Neodiprion lecontei: one gene and its partner. The protein of the gene in region 2 purifies or fractionates together with the protein of the main gene of each other region. This does not show direct contact. Links are inferred from orthologs where the notes say so. Each region holds a gene or a part of one and is shown on either strand. Other genes may lie near its edges.

Region 1 (6,017 bases), on a different chromosome or scaffold from region 2:
GGAGTTTTATTCAGCATGCTAGATACAGAAACGGACAGCCGACTAATAAAAGATATCCACGATACTCTTACCAGTATGCTTCAAATGCTTGCTGCTGACAACCTATCACAGTGGTTATCCCTTTGCAAAGATGTTTTAACGGTAGCTTCAGGTAAGGAGTGATGATTTTCGACTCCTTGTTACAATTAGCGAGCTCATGGAAATTAGTAATGAAATAAATAGTGTTCAGAGATGTACGTAACGAAACATATTTTTAGAGTCGAGTACGACAACAGAAGAAGTCACTGCTGTTCTAACTGAAGATAGTACAGCGGATGATGAAGGTGGTGAAGCAGAAGGTGATGATGATCAGGCCGAATTTCACGCAGAAGAGTCAACACGGCAACGTCCAGCTGTCTCACCACGTTGGCCGACCAGAGTTTTCGCTGCTCAGAGTGTACGACGGATTATCACTGCTTGTCTTGTCAACAAGCAGGCACACTTTGATCTGGCCTTAGCTAAGGAAATGCAGCTCACCAGAGGAAGAGGTATGTACCACGCCTGGATTTTTCTTTCCTGTTCTTCTTTCACAATCAAAATGATTGGGATACTTATGGCCCATATTTTGTGATTTGACAATTTAATTTTCACCTTTCAGGAGATTTTCTAGTACTACACTTATCAGATCTAGTGCGTATGGCGTTTATGGCTGCGACCAGTGATTGTGATCCTTTGCGATTAGAAGGTCTCAAGACCTTACAAGAAATAATTGATAAATTTGCCAAAGTTCCGGAACCAGAATTTCCTGGACACTTACTTCTGGAACAATTCCAAGCACAGGTGATTATTTTGCTAAAATTTAAAACACGAAAAACTACTCAGTCTATATTCCCATGATCAAATAACGATAATCTTATCACAAAGGTTGGTGCTGCCTTGAGACCAGCGTTTTCTACAGAAACAGCATCTCACGTCACCGCTGCAGCTTGTGAAGCTTGTAGCGCATGGATTGGTAGTGGTGTTGCAAGGGATCTCAATGATTTACGCCGAGTACATCAACTGCTTGTATCGTCGTTGGAAAAATTAAGAGGCGGACATTCTCATCAACAATTATACAATGAAAGCCTTTCTACGTTAGAAAAACTGGCCATATTAAAGGCTTGGGCTGAGGTAAATACGTAATTCCATGTTACAGATGATTCACCACATCATTCAATAATTGCAATAAGCCATGTGAGAAATTCATCGCGTGTGTTCTGATTCAATGTTGTAGGTGTATGTGGTGGCAATGATTAATGATGGTTCAGCACCTGGAAATGTAGAGACGTCATCAAGAAATAAGGCTCATACAACTGCCGCAAACGAAGAAGAAGGCTTTGGCGAATTTGAGTTCCAGAATGAAAGTTTACTCAGTTTAGTTCAGCCAGAGTTATTAAGTCTGAGTCAACATTGGTTAGCTGCCCTGCGCGATCATGCATTACTCTCCCTACCACCTGGTAAGTTATCCCACTCATATAAAAAATGAATTTTGGAAATACAACTGCTAGATATTTGCGGAATTTCATTTATAAATACATTTTTATTAGGTCCTTTATAGTTCATCTTTTCTTACAAATATGGTCACAAAATCCATTTGAGAATTGGTGAATATGTAGTTGAATTTGTTACAGCATAATATTTAATCTATATTATACCTCGTTCGTTTGAGGATAATATATTTAAATACACATTAGAATTTATAAAATTATTAATTCTAGACACGAATCTCTTCTTTAGCTTCGTGTTTAAACATGTGTTTGATTAGTATAACAGAATCATGCATACAAGAATATGGAATGAAACAAATGAAGCCTGCGCGATACATGCTGTACAAATTATTACATTAATTGCGTTCAAATTCAAAGTAGACCCTGGCGTTTCAAATCCTCGTAAGTTTTCCGATTCACAACATTTCCTAGAGAGTCTTCAAACTCCTCTTCTTGTTCCGGCTGCCAACGTTCCGACTGTTTTTGTGCTTTGAGCTTTTCCCACAGAGCTAGAGCGTCCTCGATCTGTGTGACGTTGGCAAAATGCGCTGTATTTGGTATCCCCAAACATCTCATACCGTGAGCGTGTCTCCACTCTGCAAAATGCCTTTGGAAGGCTTTGGGTCCCTTGTACGTAAAGTTTCCGCAAATTTCGCAATTGTAGCTGATGTTGAGACCGTGAAGTTTGTACAACCAGTATGGTATAGGCTTGCCATCCCAACCGAGGGGTAGATTTTTCGGATTATACGGAACTTCGTTGTCATCTTCTTCTTCCGACTCGCTGGCACTAGCATCTGCATCAGAATCACCTCTCTCACCCTCCGTTCTCGCCTGTTTTCTTTGAACATTTTCTTTAGTGGCGACACGCTGACTAGATACCAGCTCGGCAAGCCTATACACCTGAGCCTCGAGCATTGCGATCTCCTTCTGCTTTTCCACGTCTCTTCCTTTGCCTGGTTTTCCCGGTTTGTTTTTGGTCAGCAGACTCGGATCTAGAGAGGCTTGTCCCTTAGTGCTAAACAACCTCTGCGCTCTCTCTTCCAAAGTTCCACCGCACTTAAGACCCAGCGCCAGTAAGGCTGATTTTAATCTGTCCAGACCTAGCGAGGCGAGTTCTTCCCAAGAGGAAAAGGCGGAGAGCTCTAAGTGCGCCCCAACGTTAGTTAGAGCACTTCCGGTCTCCTTTGGCCACCCTGGAAAGCTGCTGTTTTCCCAGTGTACCACGAATTCTCTATTGGCTGTTTCGATTTCAGCATTGAGATCAAGGAGCGGACGAACCCTAGTCAGATATTCGGTCAAGTACTCCAGGAGCGCCTCGACGTATCTGCGATATTCTGCGTTCTTACGCTCTCTTGGAATGTCAAATAAATGATCGAAAGTCGACAGATAGGTTATGTAATCGACCTTTTCAATACCTTTCAGGTTTATATACTTTTCGTAGCACTCGTGAAGATCGAGGTATTTCCCGTAGCCCTCTTCGTCGGTAAATTCGACGAGATTTGCGAGTTCCTCTGTTGGATTTTCTCGCATTTTAGCCAACTCCTCGAACTCTACCGACATCGGGACGCTTATCTCGTTCGGATGCCGCCGATAGAATTCCTTGATGGACTTGAGTCGCGAATAAAATTCGGAGAACTCGTTCGGTCCCGACAAAGCCTGGACCTCGTCCTTTCGTTGGCCATCGTTATCCTCGTAGAGATCCTGCAAATGCGCTGTGCTGTCCATGTGTTGGTCTAATAGCATTTTCAGCCGATGTTCTGAATTTATCGTTTCTCTATGTCCCGGCTTCTTGTGCAACATTTCTTTGACCATTGCGTCCATGAGACGCTCCCGTTCTTCATGATAGCGACGCTGTTGCTCTAAAATTGTTTCCATCCTATTTTTTTCTTCACTAATGTGCACTCGAATGTACTCTGTACTACTTCACACGTAAACGTACTATTGATTACTGTGTCCGCCATTTGCAAAATACAAAACTTGGCTCATACGGCTCCAGATCGTAGCGCCGTGGCTAACAATGAGACCAAGTCAATCACTCAGGCTGTACGTCAGACTCTGACGGTATTGTAGTTTTCAACCGATGATTGAATATTGAATACATTCAGGTTTCCTTTTTCATTTTATTTTCAAAAGTGGATTATAGAGTCTTTTGATGCAGAAAAAAGAAAAAGTAGAAGATACCAAGGGTGCAACTTAATTGTTTCAGAATTTTCAAGTCAGCTTCCTCACGATGGAGGAGCTTTTTACACAACTGATACAATGGAATCAGCTCGTCCGTATTACCTTGAGTCTTGGGCTCCAATACTTCATGCAGCAACACTGTGGCTGAATGCTAGAGGCTTCGAATCTCCAGAACCTGCCAATGTCGATACTAATACGAAGAATAAACTTGGCCGTAATAATAATAATGACTCTACCAATACAGAATCTAATGTCGAACGATTCCATTTATTGTTTGGTAAGATTTTTTCTGCATACCTCACAATGAAAAATCTCATTTTACAAATTATTGCATTGAACATTCTTCCATATTTCGCTTCAAGGTATATGCATGGAAGCTTTGTGCAGTCCTCGATCTTCGGAGTCTACCCAAAGTGTAGAGACATGTCTGAGTGCTCTCTACACCTTACTTGATTCTATATGGGCACGCAACGTACTTATGGTTGATCGGTCCCTTCCTATTGAGCTTTGCAATGTTCTTCACAGGTAAGTTACAGAGCCAATACAAAATCTGAAAATTGCTAATTTTATTCGATGTATCAACAATTTTTAATTTCATTTTTCATTATCCTACGTTGCCTTTCGCTGGTCAACAAAATTTTATTCATCTTATTCTAACTATACAGGTTGCTACTGACGCGAGAAAGCTATACCATTCAAATGATGGTAATGGAAGTACTGAAACAAGTAATGCGTGCTGCTCAAGAAGACCTTGCAGATCGGAAAAAATCGAAACTCAAAGGTTGTTCATGAAACTCGTTTTTATCAATGATTCAATACATTATTTATTTTATTACTAACGCATAGAATTCGTTCACTTTCAGAACTTGTTCCTGCAAATCAAGAGTCTAAAGACACCACAGAGGTCGATGAACTGGGGGAAGGGCAGGAAACTGGTGACCTTATTCCAGGACAATCTTTAGTTTTTGCTGTACTAGAAGTTTGCTTGTGCTTACTCGTACGACAAATACCAGCGTTGAATCCCAGTCCAGGTGGTGCGACAACGGTGTTGTCTCATCGGGGATATACAGCATCGGAGGAATGTGGCAGGCTCATTGCTGCCACTCTGAATGTGATGGAAGGTCTTCCAAGGCTTTGTTCTCCACAAGGTTGGTCCTGAAATTACTTGATGTGTCGATGTATATCATCGATAATTTATAATAAAAAGAATTCTCAACAATCACGTTAAGTTAATACTTGTTCGTAAGAACATATTTTAAATCATGCTGATAAGGTGCATATTTTGCTATCAAGCTTTAGTTCGGTTTATTTTAAGTTTTACATGTACGCGATGAATACTTAAACTGCATTGTCTCACAGGTGCCATTGCGATTCTACCCACGTTGTTATATTTAACAACTGGGGTAATTAGAGAGACTGCGATTCGCACAGATAACGATAATTCTGGGGTCGGACCTGGAGCACCTGTGCACGGGGCTCTGCATTGTCTCAAGAGTCTTATGACCAATAAATACGCAACTGATGCAAGAAGTGAACAACAGTGGAAAACTTTGCTTCAGAGTGCTCTTGCTAAAATAGTCGATCTTGCAAAAACAGGTAAGCCATATTAAATCTAAAATCATCGTTACTGCATGTACGTACCTCATTACGACGTACATTCATAATGATTGGATTGCAGGTTGTGATGAAACGAAAATGGATGAAGTTGCGATGATGTTAGGGATTGCAGTGTTTGTCCTCCACGCATCCCCTGAGGTTGTGAGTGCGCCGAACTTACAGTACCCTTGCATCAATCATTTTCGGCAGTGTCTTCAATCAGAAAATACTCTGGTGAGTACGAACTTTCGTTCTTGCCCGGTCGTCCTAGTACCTTATCATTGAATGAGAAAATGTATCTTTCTTAAAGGTTAAATTAAAGTGCATACAAACATTGAGAACAATCTTCATGCACTATGAACGCAGTGTCAGTACTCCCTACATCCACGCTCTCGCACCAAGGTTGGTGGAATATCTGTACAGTGAATCGAGCAAACAAGTATCAAACGAAACTCAGCTAACTCTTACATTAGAAAGCATAGCAACGATTGAAGCACTCATATCATTAGCTGAACCTGCTAATCGTGAGTAGATAATAAATTGTAACTGCTTTCACAATTATGGTTCTTTGTATTGATAAATTAAATTTTGCATGCAAACCAGGAGATCTTATGCAAGGTAGGTGACGATTTCCAGGGTGTTCGTTCTATCAGTTATTTTCAATAATATCCACACCAACCAACTACATGGTATCATGTCATTGGATAAAAAAAAATATAATTGGGAACTTTTTTC
Region 2 (9,284 bases):
TTTGGAAAAATAGTGTTGAATGCGGAAGTTGATTGAAACAAATTTTGTAATAATGAAAATTTTGTAAAACAGAGACCTCGAAGCGCAAATGCAGCTTACATTCTTATCGACAACATAATTCAATCTTATCAAAGGCTTCGGAATGGAATCATAAAAGTCAAGAGAAAATCATTTTCACTTTTCCGTAGGTATAATTATTTCTGCAATACATTTTCTTTCTCATCGAGTGACCAGTGAAATGGAAAACCCACCCTGAGGATGTATGGATAAATTTGGAAATATATAGAATCATTTTTTTTTTTGCATTTATATGCAGCAGCTGATAAAATGGAGGACGAAAGGAATAAAATTAATTCTGTAGATAATTTAGTTTCAAATATACATTTATTCATATCATATGCAATTGTAACTTAAAATACAGATTACTTCAAATTATATTTCGCAGACATTCCGTTTAATTCATTCGTTTCGTTCATACAGATTCCATGAAACATTACATTACGCATGCAGTAAAACCGAAATAGCAAATGACAAGAATTAATTTATGCAATGGTAATAATTGAGTCCAGCAAGAGAATGATTGTCAATTGGTAAAAGAGATGACGCGAAGTTTTCAGGATGCTCGACAGTTGATATTTTCGCGATGTCTATGGTAGACGTTGGTTTTATCGTACAAGTTTCACCTTTGTCCAATTTAACTGAATTTCGTCAGAGGTTCAACTAAAGACTGGCAGGAGTTCATCAGAAAATAGTAGTATATGAATGACAGAAATCAGGCATCAGTTTATATTCACCTATTAAATTCCAATCTGACAAAGAGAAAGGACAGAAAAACAAGAATAAATTGTACGGAGACTAAAAAGAAGGCTTTTCGCAGCGTTTATTATTGCCTACTTAGAATTTATGTACAAAAACGATTGATGTAACAACGCTGGATAAAAAAATTCTAACACTAGCAGAACGAGGATATCTGAGACCGAAACTTTCCCAAAAGTCCCAGTGCTACGCATGCTCATCACAGCAGAGGTGAATAGCATATCTGAACAATTATTATCAGTAGTAGAGTCATTTCTAAAAATTGCAGAAACAAGCGATATAACTCAAGTAACCGCGTTTTAAATTAATTTCGCGATCAACATTTTTAAAAATAAAAAGATTAAACCGTATTTTTAAACGCTGTAGTCACTTCTATTACACGACACTTGTAGAACAGTTTACATCTGATCGAGATTTGCCTTAACTACATTTAATATTAGTTCAAAAGTATAAACTTTTTCTTACACATAGTGATTCGTATGTACAGACTTATGTACCTCGGCGCCATTTTTCTCCATTGCTGAACTTGGTCATTTCACGACCACTGACTCCACAAGTTCCAATGCCTACCCTACCATTGACATTTTCCGGTGTCGCAAATATACTCTTCTTCACAACCCCCTTCTTACTGGACTGTAAAATAAAACCAAAGAGTTCGAAGAAATGATTAATTTGCATCTTAAGAAAAATTACTATTCTTCTCCAATAATGCAAGGTACGTATATATGTTTAGAAATTCAATAATATAGAAGTAAGCATTTACAGTGAGAAAATAAATGCTGAAGTGTAGAGTATTGACATCCGTTGGTGACGTTAGTTGTGCCTGCTTAATTATTACTGAAGTTGTACCTCGATTGTTCGGGAATTACGAGACTGCGCGGTTCATAGACAAGCGGAGAAGCACGAACGATTCGAAACACGTTTGCTATGCAATTTTCAAGGGGCAACTCTGAAATTTGTAGCAATTTTCAAGAAGACACGGGCGATAGAGAAATACTTTTCATTCATATCTGTTGTGACTTAGTGTGGCGATTATTATCCGATATTTAGAATCATCACAAGTAGATCACAGAGGTCTTTACAACTATTCACATATTTTCGTTACCACGTCGTCTCGATCACGATTCCGGGGTCATCTTTTAATTGAACAAATCGGTGTTATGTGTGAATATTCGTGATAGTTACGCGTAACGTAGAACTTTGTTTTCTAATTCTAAAAGATAGTAAAAATGTGTAAGTTGTAAAAATTAGATGTTAAAAAATACAAAAATTTCAAACTTTTCAATATCATGGGTATAAGGGTCGATGGCCACACTTATCAAGAATATTCATGTAAGACCCCGACTTTTTAACGATAAGATGAAAGCAATCTTATTCAAGGTGACATGGCTAGTGAAAATATGAGAATGTTTGTGACGTCGTTCGTGACTAACTTGAGATAATTGCTAAAAGTTGGAAAATAAATGCCAACAATGACAACAAACTAGGTCAAAACATATGCAAATAAAATTACCTTTCATATTAACCGTATCTTGGAATTTACCTGAAATTACGGGGCTGAAGTTAGTAACGATACCCCATCGAAAGTTTGAAACAAAAATTACTATTTTGGACATTTAGAATAAGTGAATAAGTTGAATTTACAAAACTGAATTTTTTGATGTTATATTAACGGTGTACTAAATTTCAGGTAATCCTAAAGTTGTCAACTAACGACTATTTCTGAAAATGCATCAATGCAATAACGTTACAAACTTCAGCGTGATGAAATTTCATAGTTGAAGGTATGTACACGTTCTCTTATGGAGGTGTCCTGGTCGATTTTGACGATGACGTATATATCTCCAGATATTAAAGTCCACGTATCTCAAACGCGAAAAAGGGCTTAACAGCCCTATTCTATACGCAATTGTGAATAAAAGCACTCCAATCCGTTTTCCTTAGACGCAAAAATAAAGAAATGGCATGGCTTCTACAAAATCGTAATAGTAAATTCTTAGGTTTCTTTGGTTCTACGTCGAATGAAAATGTATTGGAATGTTTTTGTTTCGAATTGCGTGTAAACTTGGGCTGTTAAGCCCTGTTTTGCGTCTAAGATACGTGGACTTCGATACTTGGGAGATATATACGACAACGTCGAAAGCGATTAGGAAATCTCCTTATCTTAAAAAAGATTTTTAAAACACTCTTGATGACAAATAGCTGAAGTAAGTACGTAATTGAACGTGGGCGAGAAGCTCGAGGAGGTACAAATTGAAAGTAACCACGTATAATAAACGAACAGTTCGGCTGGTTTGTTTACCTTTTGGGGCGTGCGGAGTGAAGCACGGGCGGTTGTCGACACTTTGCATCGCATTGAAACGCGCTCGTGCACACGGAACGAGAAAAAAAGTGTATGTAAGTAAACAAAGGTTCGCCTCGTGAAATTGAGCCCGGAAGGGATAAATTCTGCGCCCGCGTTTAATCGAGGTTCAATTGTAAGTAGTTAATATCAACTTTAACCGTATTGAATATTGTAGTATATTATATGGTACGAAGTTTAATAATTTGTATGTCCGGAAATATTGAAATACGCTACGTGTGCGAAAGCAGACTGACGATATTTCTTCACAAGCAATAATTTCTGTGAAGATAAGCGTAGCGGTGCTTTTCACGTCGCGTGGCAGCAAATTGTGTGTGAAAATTAATTTTTACATGTCTAGAGAGAATACAGCGATAATGCAAAACTGATACACGAAAAAGATTTCATACATATCCGTAGTGTGATTAGTGGTGACAATACAATTGGGCTTGAATTCCAGCACTAGTCAGGCTGGCCACAAATTTTTGAGAAAAAAATTCCATGATATTTCCACGTTTTCTAAGATCTAATACCCAGTTTTCCCTGACATTTTTCCACTTCTAGTAAGTTACTAGAACCTAAATCGTGCAGGTTATTAACTCTGTATTCAGTTCGGATTCAATTCGAATTGGAGAAAAATATAATGTACAAAAATGTCAATTTAAGCCAAGTTTTTTTCTCGACGTAAAAAAGTAAATTTGTCACTTCAAACAATCATTTCTAATACCTATGATAGAAAACTGATATTTTCAGGTTTTTCCATGATTAAAATAAAAATTCCCTGATATTTTCAGGTTTTTCAGATTTTCCAGGTGTGTGGCCACCCTGACAGTAGCACAAATACGAATGTAATGAGGGTCTATAAAAGTGTTTGACAACTTGTCAATACAATAACAATTAATGTCTGAACAGTGGTTGCAGGAATCAAATGAAACAGAAAGAATGCATTCCCTGGTGCGCAAACTTTTTGTTTCATTGGTAATTAAAGAGACTGATTGGTCGAAAATCGATACTATTTAGGTAATTTCATTAGGCAATACACACGTATTCAATTTATATCAAATTTTAATGTTCACAATGGTACGAAGATCTCTTAAAAAATCGTAAAATTAAAAATGCTTGAATTACGAGGAGAGGCAGTTACAGATGTCGATGCTTCACTTCGACTCGCTACACAATATTTGAAAATCGGGGAGATCCGTTCGATTGCAATCTACGATGGCCAATTTTGTGTAGAAGACTATTTTGTACAAAGTCACTAAAACTGAATTTTTTTGTAGTAGTCAATTCAATATTGCCATTTCTTGATCACGATAAATATTTATTATTTTTGTATTGTAGGATTTTTTTTATAATTCCAGTATTTTCCATTTTGGTATTTTTAAAGATATCTGTGTAGCAATATACATACAGTTATTTGATACATACTCGACACAACTATATTGTGATAAAATTAACAAAAGTCTGAATTTTTAACCAACAAATCTACTTACTTGAACAACATAGTTATAGCATATTCATTATTCGTACCTTAGTTGTGAAAGCCAGCCACTTGTTTTTCTCCGATTCACGCTCCTCCTCAAGCTCCTTGAACCTTTGAAGCTTCTTTTGCTTTTTCTTCTTCAAATACTCGCGTTGCTTGTTAGGATCTGAACCAGCGATCGCTGCTGCTTGCATCTTCCTGCAAAATAAAAAACCTATCATCCACGTAGACATTTACTAAAAAGAAGAGATACTTATTAGGATGCTCTAAATACGTATATTCATATTGATTTTAATTGAATAGCGAACAAGAGCATTTGATTCTTTTTGCACATTTGGGGCAGAGTTCATTTTTAAAAACCAAATATAACAGAACAATCCCTGAACTAGAAATGAGTCCAGTTGAAATGCTGTCTCCACCGGTTGTCACTATTCCCACATTTTTTTTCCAAGATCACGTATTGATTGAAAAAGGAAATCGAAGATGGTGGGAGTCAGCAGGATATTGAATCGGGCAGGAACTTATTCAGCAATTTTTAACATACTCATTGAACCAAGTTATAAAACAATCCCATGTATTAACTGCATTTTTCACTCATGCTAGCATTAATTGTGCATGTTTCAAATAAATCTTGATTGAGTTTCAAAACTGATCTTTGTATGAGAATTTTATACTTCGGTCTTAACTTCTGCAAATAAACACTATTACTGCAGTGATTAATATAATAGTTATTAGCATGTAATTCCAATTCATGTAAGGTAACATTTTGTTGCCTCTTTGGGTAAACAATCAAACATACTCATATTGCTCTGATATTTAATAAGTATTTTTTTATAGCATCCTAATAAGATTCCCTGCTTAGTTTATTATAGAGTAATCATAATTCAACTATTATAATAAGTCTATAGCTTTGATAACAATAATTTCAATATAGGTGAAATATTCGTTAGATTATGCTTGGACTGGTAATCAAGATGAACTAACAGAAAAATTGCACATATCAATTATGAGAGATTAAAACCAAACATTTACCAAGTTTTCAAATCGTGATAGACCGATCGTAACTATGTACAATAATCAGTAATAAAGGGCTATAGTCTTGAATAATTTTACCTTCTTCTGGGCTCCAGTAAAAAAGGTTAATAGCACAGCACATCAAATGACCAACAATGGGGTAATTGACATTGGGGATTGTGGATGTCCGGAGTATTGTTACAGCAATTTTTATCAGGATTCAAGAGGAATGGGATAAAAGTTGGGTATCAGTGCGTATTAGGTATCACAAATGCATTCAACAAAAGTATGTAAAATATTAGAGTAATAATATGATTATCTAACTATGAGACAACATATCCATCCGTATTGGCTTGTATTCATAACTAAGAATAAGTATTACTGGTTAAAACTTGATGGATAAATTATAAAGTTACATCTTTAGGAAACAATGCCATTTTAAATGTTTAAAAATTGTAAGATAGTAGCAGAATGTGTTACTCACTTCGACTTTTGATCTGCCCAGTCCGAAGCTGGCCTTTTAGCAACAGACTTAAGTTGGTCAAGCATAGTGACATCGGTATTTTTGTATTCATTGAAAGTAATGTTGACTGTACCATCTTCACTGATTGTGTCTATTGTTGCTTCATAATATCTGTAAAGTAATCAATTCTTTCTATAGAAATATATTTTAAGTTTCATCGGGTACGGAAAAAGATCCAGATGTCAATTGGTAATGAAGAGAATATGTCAAATAATATATTCCATGAAAAATAACATGTTTATCATTGAGTATTTTTCAAACATGTCTAACTGTAAGACGATACTTACAGTCCTCCAAAACTCAATATACAGTACTAAGTAAACAAACTTTGGATCAGTGACTTACTTGCCATCTTCGCTCCACGGAGCCATGCACTGATCCCCAATTTTCCATTTGTTTGCTAAGACAGCTAGGAGGATCGGATCCTTCGCATCCATTCCATTTGCCTGCCGTTTTTCTTGTTGCTGCGATCGTACCAGATCATGAGTCAACTCTATGACTTCCTCTAAGTCTATCTTCAGTTTCAACAATTCTTCATTGTTTGGGTCTGTGGTCAGTGCGGCTTCAACCTAAAATATTATCAAAATTCATAAATATAATTGCAGATTCAGCATAAGTATGTAGGTAAGGAGCGAGATTGTAAGAAAGAACGGTTTTGTAATCCGTTTGTAATCTACGAGGTCAATAACGAAGGAAAAACCGATTATTATCTGAATATTTTCAGGTTATAAACATATCGTTGGCCTATTTCTTGGGGTTAACTCAGCGTATTCGGAATAAGAAGTAAGGTTAGAAACAGTGATGATTTTATATACATAGATATTAGCCATGAGAATAGAAACTAACCTGTTGCAGTTGAAGCTTATAATTCTGTAAATCATCCATGATGAAGTACAGCGTTTTAACAAATCACCAATTAAACGATCCAACTGTTGTTAAACCTTTCTAGTCCACGATACAGATAAAAGACATAACTTGTTAGTTACAAGATGGCTGGAGAACCATATTCCAGTTCTATTTGCATTTAAGTCTGATAGCGTGAACAGCGGAACGAGCTGGAATTGAAACAAAATGGACGAATCATGTCACGTGATCGTTGCGCATGCGCAATATCAATCAGATGCCTTCGATTACATTTCAGATGCATTTCAGTGTGTTGGATGAATTGCGTACAGCGTAATTGCGATTTGAGGTATTTGAAGTTAACGGCGGGTTCATACCTATACTTGTATGAGTCCATTGATAAAGCTGGTTAGGAAGAAGTAGGAAGGGTCGATGTGAGCTTATGACGTCATCAGCAGCCACTAATGGCGGTATATTTGAATTTCCACTTGATAAATTAGAACGTACACGGACCCCGTTGACTCTTTTTGAGATTTGCAGAAATTTACGTACGAAAATGCTGATATTTGGGAAAAAATTGCCACCCTCTAACTTGAAAATTCGTAAGGGTGCCGATATCCATGCCGATATGATGTTTTTTTTTTTTAATATTAGCTGAACTTGCAAAATTAAAAAAAATTATCAACAAAAATAAAAAATGCATGACATCGGCTTGTGATAATCTGTACCATTTTTTTTTTACCCATACATCGCCGTTCTCGCGGCTTATTTCTGAGATTCGCAAATTTTAGGCGAATTATTATCTTAATAATAAATTAATAATTACCAAAGAAAAGTTTATTCTCGGTGGAGGAAGGTCAAACATTAAAATCTACGTGTTTAGGAATTCATTATCCGTAAAATACGTTTACTCTTATAAATCTGTCGGTTAAAAAAAAAAAAATTATTTTTCGCACGCCAAAATATAATGTCTCTACACAGAAACTTCTTTTATTCGAGGGTATTAATTTAACTAATGAGCTTGTAAAAAAAAAATGAATTGTTGTAAGATGATAAAATTTTCGACAAAATCGCAAAAAGTATCGTGAGTATTATTAAACCACTGTGTAAATTTAAAAAAAATGAAGGAAACGTGTTGAAGTATTGCAACTTTTAACATACTGCATGTATAGGAGGAGCTTGCAGGAGATTAGCTTCGCCGACTGCGGCACGAGTTTCGAATTACATTTACTCGCAAACGAATGGCCTAAAATCCATGAAACTTGACGTACAACTTGCTCTTTCTTATAAATCTGATTAGCTAAAACCAGTTATTTATGGGAAGCCGATTTTCGGGGTGGCCGGATAAAAATTTTCCGAGGCCCCTAACACATAAGGATTATCGTAGTATCCAACTTGTTTGCAAGTGGCATGCAAGTAATATAAAACATGAAAAAAAGATAGACTGAACGTTGATTAGAGGTGCACGATCATTATGGTTAGCCTGCAGGTTTCAGTCACAGCACCAGGTGCGAGGATCTAAAGAGCAGATTCGATATTTCTCAAATATTCAGGTATCTTACAGAAATATCGACCATCGCAAAGATACAGCCACGAAAATATCAGTATTGTATATTTTGCAAACCTTATTCGACTGTATGTGAGAAAACAACCAGAGAGTAAAGAATTATCAACTGAAACAGAGAGGAGGTAATACGATTGATACATATAATTTAACACACGCGAAAATTTTTTCCTAACGACGTAAAATTTTAATTGAAGGATACTGTGATGTCAGAAAAATACTGCTATCCTTTGCCTACACTGATGAGCAAAGAAATCATGTTCCGAATGATGTACAACAATAGCGCGAACCACAGTATTACTGCACATATAGCGGATCAGAGTCAGAGTGATGCGGAATAATCGTGCCAGGTTTAAATTCTGCCTAACGCTTCGTCATGTCTTGCACGATCCACGTATACGAGCGTGTTTTTCAATTTTATTTATTATGACTTGGATTGCCACCAGCTGCACGCGTTTTGATCTACGCATTCCTAAGTGCAGACCAACCAGCCAGATTCTTCATTCGTTCAGGGTATGCAATATAAAATGTTCCGTGAAATCGCTATCGTCAACTTATTTACTTAGGTTTAATTACATGCGTTTAATAAATACCTACCTTCAATATTTACCTACCTACATGAATGTAATGTACAACGCATAGCATATCCTTTCAACACTAGTAAATATAAGTAAATATGTAGGAATTGCTTCCTACTCCG

What was found.
Region 1: the proteins of survival of motor neuron-related-splicing factor 30 (region 2) and splicing factor 3A subunit 3 purify together in Homo sapiens (affinity purification with mass spectrometry; 3 studies listed by BioGRID and IntAct, with this or other methods). This does not show direct contact. The link is inferred for Neodiprion lecontei from reciprocal best matches to the Homo sapiens genes SMNDC1 and SF3A3.

The regions. Positions count from the first base shown.
Region 1 is NC_060263.1:30,616,180-30,622,196, reverse strand, and holds splicing factor 3A subunit 3, read right to left. Parts: upstream 3,476-6,017; 5' UTR 3,381-3,475; coding exon 1,878-3,380; 3' UTR 1,539-1,877; downstream 1-1,538. Other genes in the region: HEAT repeat-containing protein 5B, read left to right, coding at 1-151, 258-527, 638-819, 904-1,149, 1,253-1,475, 3,712-3,963, 4,049-4,211, 4,352-4,467 and 5 more. UniProt on the Homo sapiens protein: Component of the 17S U2 SnRNP complex of the spliceosome, a large ribonucleoprotein complex that removes introns from transcribed pre-mRNAs.
Region 2 is NC_060261.1:14,160,042-14,169,325, reverse strand, and holds survival of motor neuron-related-splicing factor 30, read right to left. Parts: upstream 7,210-9,284; 5' UTR 7,063-7,209; coding exon 7,024-7,062; intron 6,747-7,023; coding exon 6,523-6,746; intron 6,289-6,522; coding exon 6,139-6,288; intron 4,839-6,138; coding exon 4,688-4,838; intron 1,450-4,687; coding exon 1,306-1,449; 3' UTR 1,282-1,305; exon of another isoform or gene 810-1,281; 3' UTR 366-809; downstream 1-365. UniProt on the Homo sapiens protein: Involved in spliceosome assembly.